3 linked regions of the Drosophila melanogaster genome follow. The protein of the gene in region 2 purifies or fractionates together with the protein of the main gene of each other region. This does not show direct contact. Each region holds a gene or a part of one and is shown on either strand. Other genes may lie near its edges.

The links. Proteins that work in one complex are often made in the same cells at the same time.
Region 1: the proteins of CG18746 (region 2) and Non3 purify together in Drosophila melanogaster (affinity purification with mass spectrometry, with the first as the bait; one large-scale study listed by BioGRID). This does not show direct contact.
Region 3: the proteins of CG18746 (region 2) and CG6066 purify together in Drosophila melanogaster (affinity purification with mass spectrometry, with the first as the bait; one large-scale study listed by BioGRID). This does not show direct contact.

The regions. Positions count from the first base shown.
Region 1 is NT_033777.3:18,221,817-18,225,442, reverse strand, and holds Non3 (putative nucleolar protein 3), read right to left. Parts: upstream 1,722-3,626; 5' UTR 1,625-1,721; coding exon 1,605-1,624; intron 1,545-1,604; coding exon 1,329-1,544; intron 1,261-1,328; coding exon 534-1,260; 3' UTR 501-533; downstream 1-500. Other genes in the region: CG7168 (uncharacterized protein), read left to right, coding at 1-467; mTerf5 (mitochondrial transcription termination factor 5), read left to right, coding at 2,013-2,202, 2,255-3,233, 3,285-3,509, 3,569-3,626. UniProt on the Drosophila melanogaster protein: Required for normal assembly of the mitotic spindle. May be involved in both centrosome-dependent and centrosome-independent spindle assembly programs.
Region 2 is NT_033777.3:7,787,782-7,791,836, forward strand, and holds CG18746 (uncharacterized protein), read right to left. Parts: upstream 2,407-4,055; 5' UTR 2,327-2,406; coding exon 2,215-2,326; intron 2,100-2,214; coding exon 1,950-2,099; intron 1,887-1,949; coding exon 1,678-1,886; intron 1,528-1,677; coding exon 933-1,527; intron 842-932; coding exon 591-841; 3' UTR 501-590; downstream 1-500. Other genes in the region: CG18748 (uncharacterized protein), read right to left, coding at 1-62; CG10086 (uncharacterized protein), read left to right, coding at 2,946-3,060, 3,890-4,055.
Region 3 is NT_033777.3:27,114,652-27,118,303, reverse strand, and holds CG6066 (uncharacterized protein), read left to right. Parts: upstream 1-1,596; 5' UTR 1,597-1,681; coding exon 1,682-3,073; 3' UTR 3,074-3,152; downstream 3,153-3,652. Other genes in the region: CG5880 (uncharacterized protein), read right to left, coding at 14-445, 510-721, 782-1,091, 1,152-1,299, 1,378-1,421. UniProt on the Drosophila melanogaster protein: Tumor suppressor involved in maintaining genome integrity. Influences gene expression and mRNA splicing.

The sequences.
Region 1 (3,626 bases), about 10 Mb from region 2:
GGAGCAGTTCCGTCGACATGGAGGCCATACTGCGCCAGACATTCCCCGAACTCGGCGACGATGTGATAGAAGTTCTCGAGCAGTTCGTCACCAGCAAACGAAACTTTGTGGAGGGCTCAATCAAGTCGGCCAACATACGTGCCTATCGGCTGGTCAACCTGGACTGGCGACTGGAGGTGCGCACCGCGTCGCGGAGCCTGCTGGATCAGTGTCAGGTGGTGGTGACTATGAAGCTATATCTGCACACCGAACCGAAGAATGAAAACCGAGAGCTGCTGGCGGTGGACATCTCCGGGCGCAGCGAACAGGAGCTGAAGGCCATGCAGGAGGACGAGCGGCTGCATCGAAAGGATTTGCTAGTGCAGACGGATGTCTGCAGTCTGGTGCACATGATCAAAACGCTGGAGGACGCGTTGGCCGAGTCCAAGACGCGGCGCATTCGCAATATTGTCGACGGAATACACTGATACGACTCCAGAACTCATACACTTGTTAAAGCTAATTTAATCAGGACCAATTTATTACAACTAAAATTAACTAGAGAAGGGATTGTTTCCTTGTGAGGCCAGTGCTTCGGCGGCGGCCGCCTTCAGAGCAACCTTCTTGCGCTGTCGGTTCTCCTTCTTCTCCTCCGGCGTCTTACGCAGCGCCTTGACGCGACGCGTTTGAATGGAGCCCGTTTGCTGCTTGCCCAGATGGACACGTCCCTTGGTGTTGCCCAGGGCGTCTGTGCTAATGTTCTTCTTCTTGCCCACCTTCAACTGCTTGGGCTGTTTGCGTGCCTGTTTGTACAGATCCTCGCTGGCGATCTTGGTGCGGCGAATGGAGAAGTCGGCCGAGGGTCCGATCTCTTCAAGCTCTATGCGCGGCGTCCTCTGGCCAGATTTCTTCAGCAGTATCCGGTAGGAACGCATCAGTATGTTCATGTCATCGGTAACCGTGAAACTCAGAACGTGTTCGATGCCCTGCAGCCGGATCGAATCCACCTTCTCGCGCTGGAAGGTGTCGATGAACAGGTTGCGAAGGCGCCTCAGTTCCTCGGTCTGTGCCCATTTCGGACCATTGAACACCAGGCAGGGCTTGACGCAGGCTCCGATTTTCTCGTTCTTAAACTCGGAAATCGCCTGATACCGCTTGATGCCCAGTTCAAACATGTCCAGCACCTCGTTCTCGAAGATCCTGCCCAGTATAATGTTATCGGGTCGCTTCTTGGACGTGGAACCGAACGTGAACAAAGCAGCATCGTTCTTCATGGTCAAGCTGGTGATTCGAATGATGTTTACAATTAAATACACTACATTTTAGTTGTTTGCTTTGTCCAAACTTACAACTCCAGAGATGAGGGATCGTCAAAGGGGGTAATGTCGTTTTTGCGGTTCAGCACTTTAACCAGCGGCTTCTTCAGCGCCTGCAGGTCCTTCATGCACAGCTTCACATTGCCGCCGCACTTCCTTCCGTCCAAAAACAGCATTGTGCGGGCGGATTCAATGAGTTGCGGCTCCCTGGCCAGCAACACCTTCTTTCCCTTGCGGGTTTTTGGTTTCCTGGAAGCGCAGTTGGTTTGATTTCATTTGCATTTCATGGGCTTCATCTCCAATGCTTACCTGATGCGTAAAAGCGACATATTTAAATGTTTTGAAATAAAAACCAAGTCAAATAAACTATAATTCACGCGCACGTGTAACAACGCTGCGGGGTTAGGGATGTGAAAACAACCGTCGTCGTATCGATGAAATTGATTTGCCGGCCGTATCGATAGTTGATTACCTACCACAAGATCAAGGGAGAATACATTTTCTGCACACTCAAAGCCTTTTTGCAACTCAAACATTGAACAAAATAATATTAGAAATATTAAATATATAATATAAATTATATTATATTATTATATTTTGATTTTTTCCCTTTGTATATATGTGCTCCCATCACTAGCTGCAACAGTTGTCATTCACCCCGATAACAGTTACGTTTCTTTGCCGTTTGTAAATAAATCTGCGGGAAATGTTATAATTATGCTGCGCAACGGCCAGAATCAAGCGCAATTGCTGGCCCGGAGCCTTGGACAGCTGGCGCGGGGAATGGCCAGTTCGAAACGGGTCAGCAGTAAGAAGGAGGATCTCAAGCCAAAACTGCCAAAGCCACCGACAGTCGAGATTCCGATGGAAGAGCCGCTGAATGCCAGCTATTTGTCCAAAACTCTGGGTAAGCTAAGGCTTTAAAGTTGATTTAGGGAGTCACTATTGCGTCTTTATAGGTAGTTCCTATCGTTCTTGGGCGGCAGCCTTAGAGAAGCACCCAGAGCTCAAGACGTTAAAGCGCAAGGACTTGCTAAGCTCCTACGACACTTTGAAATCACTGGACTATAGTGTGGACGACATCATAGCGAAACCCATGATCATCTATTATGGCGCCACCACTTTGGCCAATCGCCACAGTGTCTTGCAGGAGTGCGGCTTCCACAACGTGACTGTCCAAACGCTGGCCAAGTATGTGACGGTGGTCAACAAGCCGATAGAAGTCTTGAAGGCACATAATTACATCCCCTTCGATGTGAAGGTGGCGGAGCGTCTGGCGGGATATTTTAAGGATATCAAGCTGCCGGTGGATTTACGGGAGCTGGAGAGTGAGACCCTCACACTGAAGAGCTTGAGACAATCCCTGATCAACGCTTACCTGCGTGAACGTCTCCAGATGGACGACAACGATCTACAGAAGCTGTGGCGCGTTTACACGCGCATCCGCCACAAGAGTTTTCGAGCAGTGCAGGACACCATTGAACTGCTGACCAAAGAGTTTAATTTTTCCGCCGAGCGGCTAAGGAAGAACAGTTTTCTGCTCTATTCGGAAGCAGATAACGTGCGGCGCATCCTGCGAGAGGTGCCTACCATTGACTCGCAGGACATACGAGAAATCGGCTTTCGCAGACCCAAGATTTTGATGTCCACCTGCGATAGCTTGAAGCAAACACTGCAGCACGTCCACGCTTTCGGCATCAGTGAGGATGCCGTTCTCCGCTGCCTGGAAGTGCTCACCCTTGGACCGGATACGGTTCTGGAGCGACTAAGGGATCTGCAGGAGATCGAGGAGTTTCAAGTCTTGGGTACCAATCCGCGAATCCTGAGACTGGTCCACTACCAGAACAAGGCGCGACTGCGTCTGGATTATCTCAATCAACTGCGGGTTCGGTGCGCCTCCTTGCACATCCTTTCTTGTGGGTCCGAGGCGTTCGCTAAGTAAGAATCTTATCAGCTTATTGACTGACTAATCAAATAACCATGTTCCAGATTTGCCAGAGATGGCTCAGATCGTACTAAAGGCCGCGATATAGTCGTCTACTTGAGTAATGTTTTGGGGAAGGACGTGCAAGTGCTGCGCAATCTTCTCTCTCGCCATCCCAACTGGTGCCATATACCATTGCTGCACGTGAAGCAGTGTCTGGAGTACTTACGCAGCAAAAAGTTTAAACTTAATGAGATATTTGCGAACATACACTTGCTGCTTTATCCCATGTGAGTGGTACAATTAATTTACAAGCGATTTTGCCCTAATACTTTTTGTTTCTACACAGCAAACGTATTGAAGAAAAAATGCTCCTTTTGCAATCACCCGATGCGCAAGAAGATCTG
Region 2 (4,055 bases):
TGGCCCGCGTAAAAAACCCCTTGCGTGTTGTTGTGAAAAAGAATTTGGCAAATTATTCCCATGGTTTTTTATGGTTAAAGCACAAGTTTTAATGAATTTAAGTCTGTCGTTAATTGTTAAGATGTTTTCCCTTCAATTGCCGCAATCAAACTGAACTAAAAAGTTTCTTACCACTTATTTTGTGCAACGGAGAGCTTTTGGTAATTTATCTTATCAGTACACCCATAAATCTATTTATTGGTAAACCCAAAAACCCCCTACAATTTTTTTATACAATAAATAGATCATTCGTAACCAGCTAACATGAGAACTGAATTATCAGGTCCAAAAACAGCTGATACTTATATTTGTGGTGTAAAAACAAGTGCCCCCAAATGAGTTGAGGCTCTCGCATCTGAAGATAGCAATTTCACTCAAATAAATATATTAACTCATCGATAAGATATCGCACAACTCAGCAAATATTGCTCACTGAGGTCGACGAAAAGTTCCCGCAGTTTGCGTTCAACCACAGGGTAATTGTCATGTCTGTTGTATTTCGATTACTTATTAATTATTTACAGAGTGGGTACATTCATTTTTAAGCCCTTCTAAAGCCAAGTGCTTTTTTCTACACCTTCATTGACATAGCCGCCATCAGTCTTGGGTTCATTTGCTCTCAAAGTCATTTCGTCCACTTGGTTTGACAAATCAAAGACTGCGTATAAGGGTGAAAACACAATTGTTTCAGCTTTCCTCTCTTGTGATCCTTTTACACCTCTTTTCTGAGACTTTTTCTTCGATTTCGAGAACTTGTGCGGATCCGGGGAGATGTGTTTAGCCTCAGCATAACTCGGCGGTGCTAAAATAAATAAGTGATTCCTTGAATTATGATCTTTAAATTCGAATATGGAGTTTTGTATGAATTTCCTTAAAGCTCCTATTTTACTCACCAATTGAAGGATCCGCAGCCCAAGGATTGGGGCTTCCGAGTGCTTCTCCATTCTGTTCGCTGCCAATTAAAATCAAAGCCTTCGCATCTAGCTGCTGGGGTGGCAGAACTTCACCCCAAGTCCTTGGTTCTTTTTGGAGTTGCTTCGTTAGCGGGACACTTCCAATAGTTATGGGCATGTGAAGGGACTGGCCGCCATGACAACCTTTAACTCTGGCCTCCGCTTCCACCTGATAGCCGATCTGAATGATGCTGCATAGATTAAAGCAGGTTGGCGGAGTTGGCGGCACCTTAAGATCGAAGGTAAACTGCTGCCGGCATTTGGTCGACACACCTCCGCCTGTTTTCAGGACCATCTCAAAACGGTCCTTGTTGGTGTCCGCGGACGGGGGTTGACTGTAGTAAATCACCACCATAGTCAGTTTTACGGTTATGTCCTCCACGGCTACACCACTGTCATTGGAGACCATCACCTCCACCGGCACGATCTGTCCTGGCACAAAGCCACTCTGTGGAACAGAAAGTCGCATACTGAGTGGCGACGAGCGGCAGGGAAAACAGCAGAAAGTTCGCTGGGACTCCACTTGACTAGGTACCTAAAATTTATAAAATATAAAAATATAAAATTTTATACTTGACCATGGTACAACCAAAGACACTAGAATTAGACATTATTCTAATGTCTTTGGTACAACACATGGTACAGTGGACTATTCCATAGTGTGTGGAGAGACTAAGAAACATACCCTCAGCATTAGGCTTTCGGAGTTCAGGTCCATCACTTTGATCACAGTGAAGCATCGATTAAAGTTCAGATCGAACTTCCACGGACGCACGAACCTCACGTTCACCAGATAACGTATCCGACCTAGTGTCCCCTCGAAAGAAGAGGGACATGTGATGGGCAACTGACAGGCGAATCTATACGAGCTGGTGCCAGGCTCAATAAGCACCTCTGAAATGGAGCTTTGATTTCATTATCTCTAGATTTATGGTGATTTATCATCTTCGAACATACCTATGCTGGAACTAGACCCGTGCAGATAAGCCCTAGTGGCCAAGTAGTCCACATGTCCGTTGAATGATTCACCATTCGACTGATCATCCGGATCGTGTTCGGTATCCGCCCAGTGGGTTTCGGCATATCCCTTGATGTTAAGGATTACAGCTGAAGTAAAAATAAAAGCTATTTTAAGCCCCTGCAACACTTGCACTTCAAATCAATTAAGTCTTTTAGCAAGTAACGTTTGTTTTGAGTAGAGCAAAATGAATCAGCGCCTTACCTTTCACTGACTTTTCCTTCTCAGTTTTAATGACCACCTGTCCTGAAATCAACTGGCCTGCATAAAAAATTCCTTGGGAATTATTGCAGAACTCAATCTCACAGATTACCATTGTGCGGAATAATTTGTATGATAATCCGGGAGCTGTTTAACTTTTGCCCTGTCTGTGTCGTGGCTCCCAACAAACTGAAGTCACCCGCTGCGGCTATTTTTATTTTATTTTTTGTGCAGCATTTATTTGGCCAACATTTTTATTTTATCTTATCAATGCGATAGGTATCTCAGTATTTAAACACAAATTTTTACCATTGCTATCGGAGTATTTACATATGTAAGTGACAGCAATTTGAGAAGTACGAAATTGGCAGGCAGAACTGATCGATGAGGGCCAGTTTTCCCAAGGTTGAGATAGCGATGATAGGGCGTTGTACCAATAAAGAAATAGAGGATAATGGAGTCCCTGATTTATCGCATAAGTTGTTAATAAATTAATGAAGGAATTTCTCTCAACTGGCCGCGTTGCCAACTATCCAGATAGACAAATATTGCAGTGGGTTTTGTACTGAGTTGAGCCGATAAGATAATGCCAGCCGACGGTAAAACTGAAAATGAGAGTCCAGGCCATGTTAGCAATACAGTTGGCCCAGTTCGTGTTTAGCAGCGGGCGCGTTAGGATCGCTCGCAAATCTAAAAGCTCTGGAGAGGCATAAGCCCATTACCTATTCGCCAACATGTCGAAGAACTGCATGATAACGTTCGACCAGAATGAGCACGGCACCTACTTCACCGGCCAGGTGATAACCGGCAAGGTGATTGTCAATCTGAACAAGACCAAGAAACTGCGAGGTAAGTAAGACCAACTAGGATACCCCAACAGTACGGAAACTAGTGGGGGCTTTCGCTTATCGAGCGCGGCGTATCTTATCGCTTCGGATAATGTCAGGTTTGGCAAAAGCAAAAGATTCAACAAACCATTGAAATGGGTAATTAAGTGATAACTATGCGGACACTCCAAATGTGCGATAATTGATGATTCCTGGAGCCGAAGGGGAGCGATAACAACCTTACTTATAGTTGGGGATCTACCCAACGAATTATATTTTCTTTCGAGGAAATACCAGGGAACTTACTCACGGTTTTCGTCTGGGCTTTGCAGTGATATGGACAACAAGTTTTGTTGATTCTTCGAAATATATGTTTTCTACTTCTATTTAAAAAAAAAAAGGTTAATTTTTGTCTTTAAGTTATTTCATTTCCATTTTGCATCTGCGTGCTTGCAGCCCAAATCAAATATTTAAACAATTTGAATAATTTTATAGTGTGCGTCAACAGTTTCCGTATTAGTTAAATTTAAAATGCCCCTAAGACGCTTTTATTAACTGTTTTTGGAAATGTCTTTCAGTGCTTCTCGCTTTTGTTTTATCTTATCCTAATATTACCCCTACCTTATGAGGTAACCCAAAGAGATAAACAAAGTGAGCTAGTTTTATTAGGAAGCCCGTTGTATTTTTTTTTAACTTTTTTATTAAGGTACTGATTTCTTTGTCTATATTATAGCCTATATTATAGTATTATTATGGAAATATTATAAATGTTAGTCAGCACATCTCATATTTCTCTGTTAAGAAGTCATGTTATTGAAGATCTACATATTCTAATATTTCTTGTCTTTTAGGAATAAAACTGCAAATAAGTGGCTATGCGCAAGCCCAGTGGCGCATCCGCAGACATGGTAAGGCGGTGGCAATCCAAAACCCCAAGAAGCGATCAAAGCACCAGTACAGCGGGCGGGAGGACTATATAGCCTCCACCACTTACCTCATGGGTTCCGAGCAGGGCAG
Region 3 (3,652 bases), about 19 Mb from region 2:
TTCTATGTTGGAATTATGGCCACTCGTCCTCGAAGGGAGCATCATTTACCGTGTGGAAACTCAGCCCAGTACCTTCGGGTTTGTGCCAGGAGGGAAGCAGCACAGTTCGCCAAAAGGATCTGCCCCGCACCAGACCCAAGAACAGCTTCCAGTTCTTTTTGGTGCCAAAGTTATAAGGATTAATATAAATGCGTTGTTGCTGGAGGTGCCGTTTTCGCTCAGCTTCGTTGATGTGAGCCTCCACACTGGTCTCGCCACGAGTGATTAGCTTGGCGTGCCAGATGGAGAGGCTACCGAGAGCCAAGACCACGGCAACGTTTGTGAACGCCATGAACCAAAGCGCTCGTCGTCGACCGGGCGAAGCGGCATCTGTGTCCACAATGGGTGTTGGAAGATTGTGCACGGCTGGAGGCAGCACAAATTCATCATACTCATTCGGATGTGTCTGAAGTTCAGAGAGAAAGAAAGATGAAATAAAGAAAGTAGCACAAGTTAGTTTACTGGCTTACCACTGGAATGATGTGTCCACTGAGGTTAAACTTGACTGGCTGCCCCTCCAAGGGCTCAATTTCCGTCCAGTTTTCACCATGATCCAGCCACAGGTATTTGTGGCCAATCTCCAAGCCAAACAAAATAAGAAACAGACAACCCAGAGTGGTGTACGTCATGTAGAGGAAGAAGTACCGATGATTACCATAACCCACGCAATTGTTGAGCCAAGCTATATATGGGATATATGAAAATTAATGTAGGAACCCTTTAGAAATCTTAAGGTACTCACGACAATGGTGATCCATCTTAAGTATGCAGCGATTGCAGATGGAGCAGTGATGAGTCCTCGGTGGTTTGGGAGCTATGCACTTGCCGCACATGCTAACCGCTTCTACCAGGGACACGCCCTCTGGCGGATGACCAGCCGGCGTGATCACAGCCATAACGTAGTGGAAAACCACATTGAGCAGCAGCCAGTTGCCCACAATGAGGAGGAAGTAGGTCACCAACTGACTTTTGGCCCACCAAAAGGGCAAGCCAATCCAATAGGCAATACTAACGACTGAAGTCGTCAAGGCAGCCACGCCAACCACAAAAAACTAAACAAGTTTAAAACGCTTAATCATACGAACAACAAATGTTATGTTGCATAGTGTTACCGGTCCTAGGCAGTGAGTATAGTTGTCCACAAACCAAAAAATAGGGGTCAGGCAGACGTCCGAGGCGTAGGAGGAGTTCATGTGGGCGTTGAAAGTTAAGGAGTGCCAGCAGTGCTTCATATATGACCAACGAAGCCGCAAAATCGATCTGTTAAATAAGTAAACAATAAACGAAAACATTGCAAATTAGTGATACATTTGTGCAGCGGGATATTTCAAAGCTTACAGCAACTCCTGAGTGGAGTGACCTCTCCAAGTAATGCGTGTCATTTTTAGCAAGTGGTAGCTTTCCTATATTTTATGTTATATTTAAATTACAGCATTTTTGGCGATAATAAACTTTATTTTGGCGAGCGAATTTGCAAAGTTCGTTTTGATGTGACCTTCTGCAGCTAAAATCACTCAATCAGCTGTTGCCTATCGATGAGCGGCTACTATCGATTGGGTAGGCTATCGAGTCTGCTCACCAATAGCGACAAACGTTTGTTTTGCATTTTCCGGTGAAATTGTTAAAAACTTGTATTTTCCACATGCGTTCACGCAGCAGGAGTCGCAGCAGGCAAAGGGAACGTCGCCGGTCCGATTCTAGGGCTCGATCCCGCTCGGAAAGAAGGACTTACCAGAAACCGCAGCATAGGAGATCGGTTTCGCGGGAGAGGAAAAGAGAAAGGGATAGGGAGCTCCACAGGGAAAGGACTTCCAATCGCAGCTCACGTCGCTCCAGAGAAAAGGATGCAGTGCCTCGCCGCCGTAGAACGCGCTCCTCGCCCTCCAGAAGCTCCAGCAGCAGCAGCAGTGATAGATCCAGTTCCTCGAGAAGCCCGTCCAGAAGCCGCAAATCCCGCCCAAAATCCGTGGAACGCTGGCCCAACGATCGTTATCATGAAAACAACGATAGGCGGCAGAATCCCTTCCGGGGAAGGGCTCCCGAGGGTAGTTTCATTAATGATCCCGCCGAACCATCGTTCAGGTCGCAGCACAGAGGTAGAGGATCGTCTAACCACCAATTCAAAGGTGACTCCAAGGCTGTGAATGCCCGCAGAAACCAGAGAGTTCTCATCGGCGAGGAAGGCGTGCCAGAGGTCTGGGGCAAGAGCCCTTCCCGGCCAGAAACCGACGATGTGGAGCTGGTGAAGGGTTCTTACATAGGACCCAAGAAGAAAAAGAAAAAGGGCAAGAGAAAGCACAAGAAATCTGAAAAGAAGTCGAAGAAAAAGTCAAAGAAATCCAAAAAGAAAAAGAGCAAACAAGAGTCGAGTTCCTCCTCCAGTTCTTCAAGCAGCGAAGACAGTAGCGACGAGTCCAGCAGCTCAAGTTCCAGTTCCAGTTCTGACAGCGAAGATGAGTCCGAGGAGGAAGATGTTTGGCTGGAAAAGACAGCCGACGGTATCAAGAAGCCTAAAAAGAAGAAGTCCTCCACTAGCAAAAAGGACAAAAAGTCTAAAAAGAAGAAGAAGAAGCGTAAGTCAGAGGCGGAAAAGTCCAAGAAGAGCTCCTCCTCCAGTGCCAGCAAGTCGAAGAACAAGGAAAGTGCCTCGCACAACGACGAGGACGTTGGACCTTCGCTGCGACCCGGCGGTAGTCTTAATCAAAAGGACTTCGGCAAGGCCTTGCTGCCAGGAGAAGGTGCCGCCATGGCTGCCTACATTGCCGAGGGCAAGAGAATTCCTCGCCGTGGTGAAATCGGCCTAACATCCGATGAAATCGCCAATTTCGAGTCCGTGGGCTATGTGATGAGCGGCAGCAGGCATCGTCGCATGGAGGCCGTCCGTATCCGCAAGGAGAACCAGCTGTACTCCGCCGACGAGAAGCGAGCACTGGCCATGTTCAGCAAGGAGGAGCGACAGAAGCGCGAAAACAAGATTCTGTCGCAGTTTAAGGACATGATCCACTCAAAGCTGCAGGCCAAGGACAAGAAGTAAATCCTAAAGGATATTGTCTTCAAAATGGATTTACCATAAATGGCAAACGCACATCAGGATTTCAATTCAACGAATGTCGAAACTTCATGATTGTTTTAATTTTTGTATTTGTATAAAAAAAATAAACGACAATTGTAAGTTAAAGAGCTTCTTAGAGTAACTTAATAACTTTAATAAACGCAAGAAAGTTTTCATTTTCCATTATTTATAATAATTTTCCAAATGTTCCTATGGCAGCTACACGATGTAGTCGTCCGCACACAAAATTATATATTGTTTACATATGTACTTGTACATATACCAAATATGAGCCCGCTATAATCATTGTGGCATTAACCATGGATATTCGACTAAAATATGATATAAAAATAAGCTATTTTCAGCAAACCAATCTTCATCAGAATTCGCTTCTTCCTGTGCACTTCTCTGGTTTTCCTGTTCTCCTTTCCGTCAATCTACTCTGCATTTCATCTTATTGCATCGTAATACAACAAAAACTAATGAGTGGGCTTAAATTTTCGTTGCTAAGCCCAAGAGATAAATCAGGTGTACACTTTACATGGCGACGGATTAGCCCAC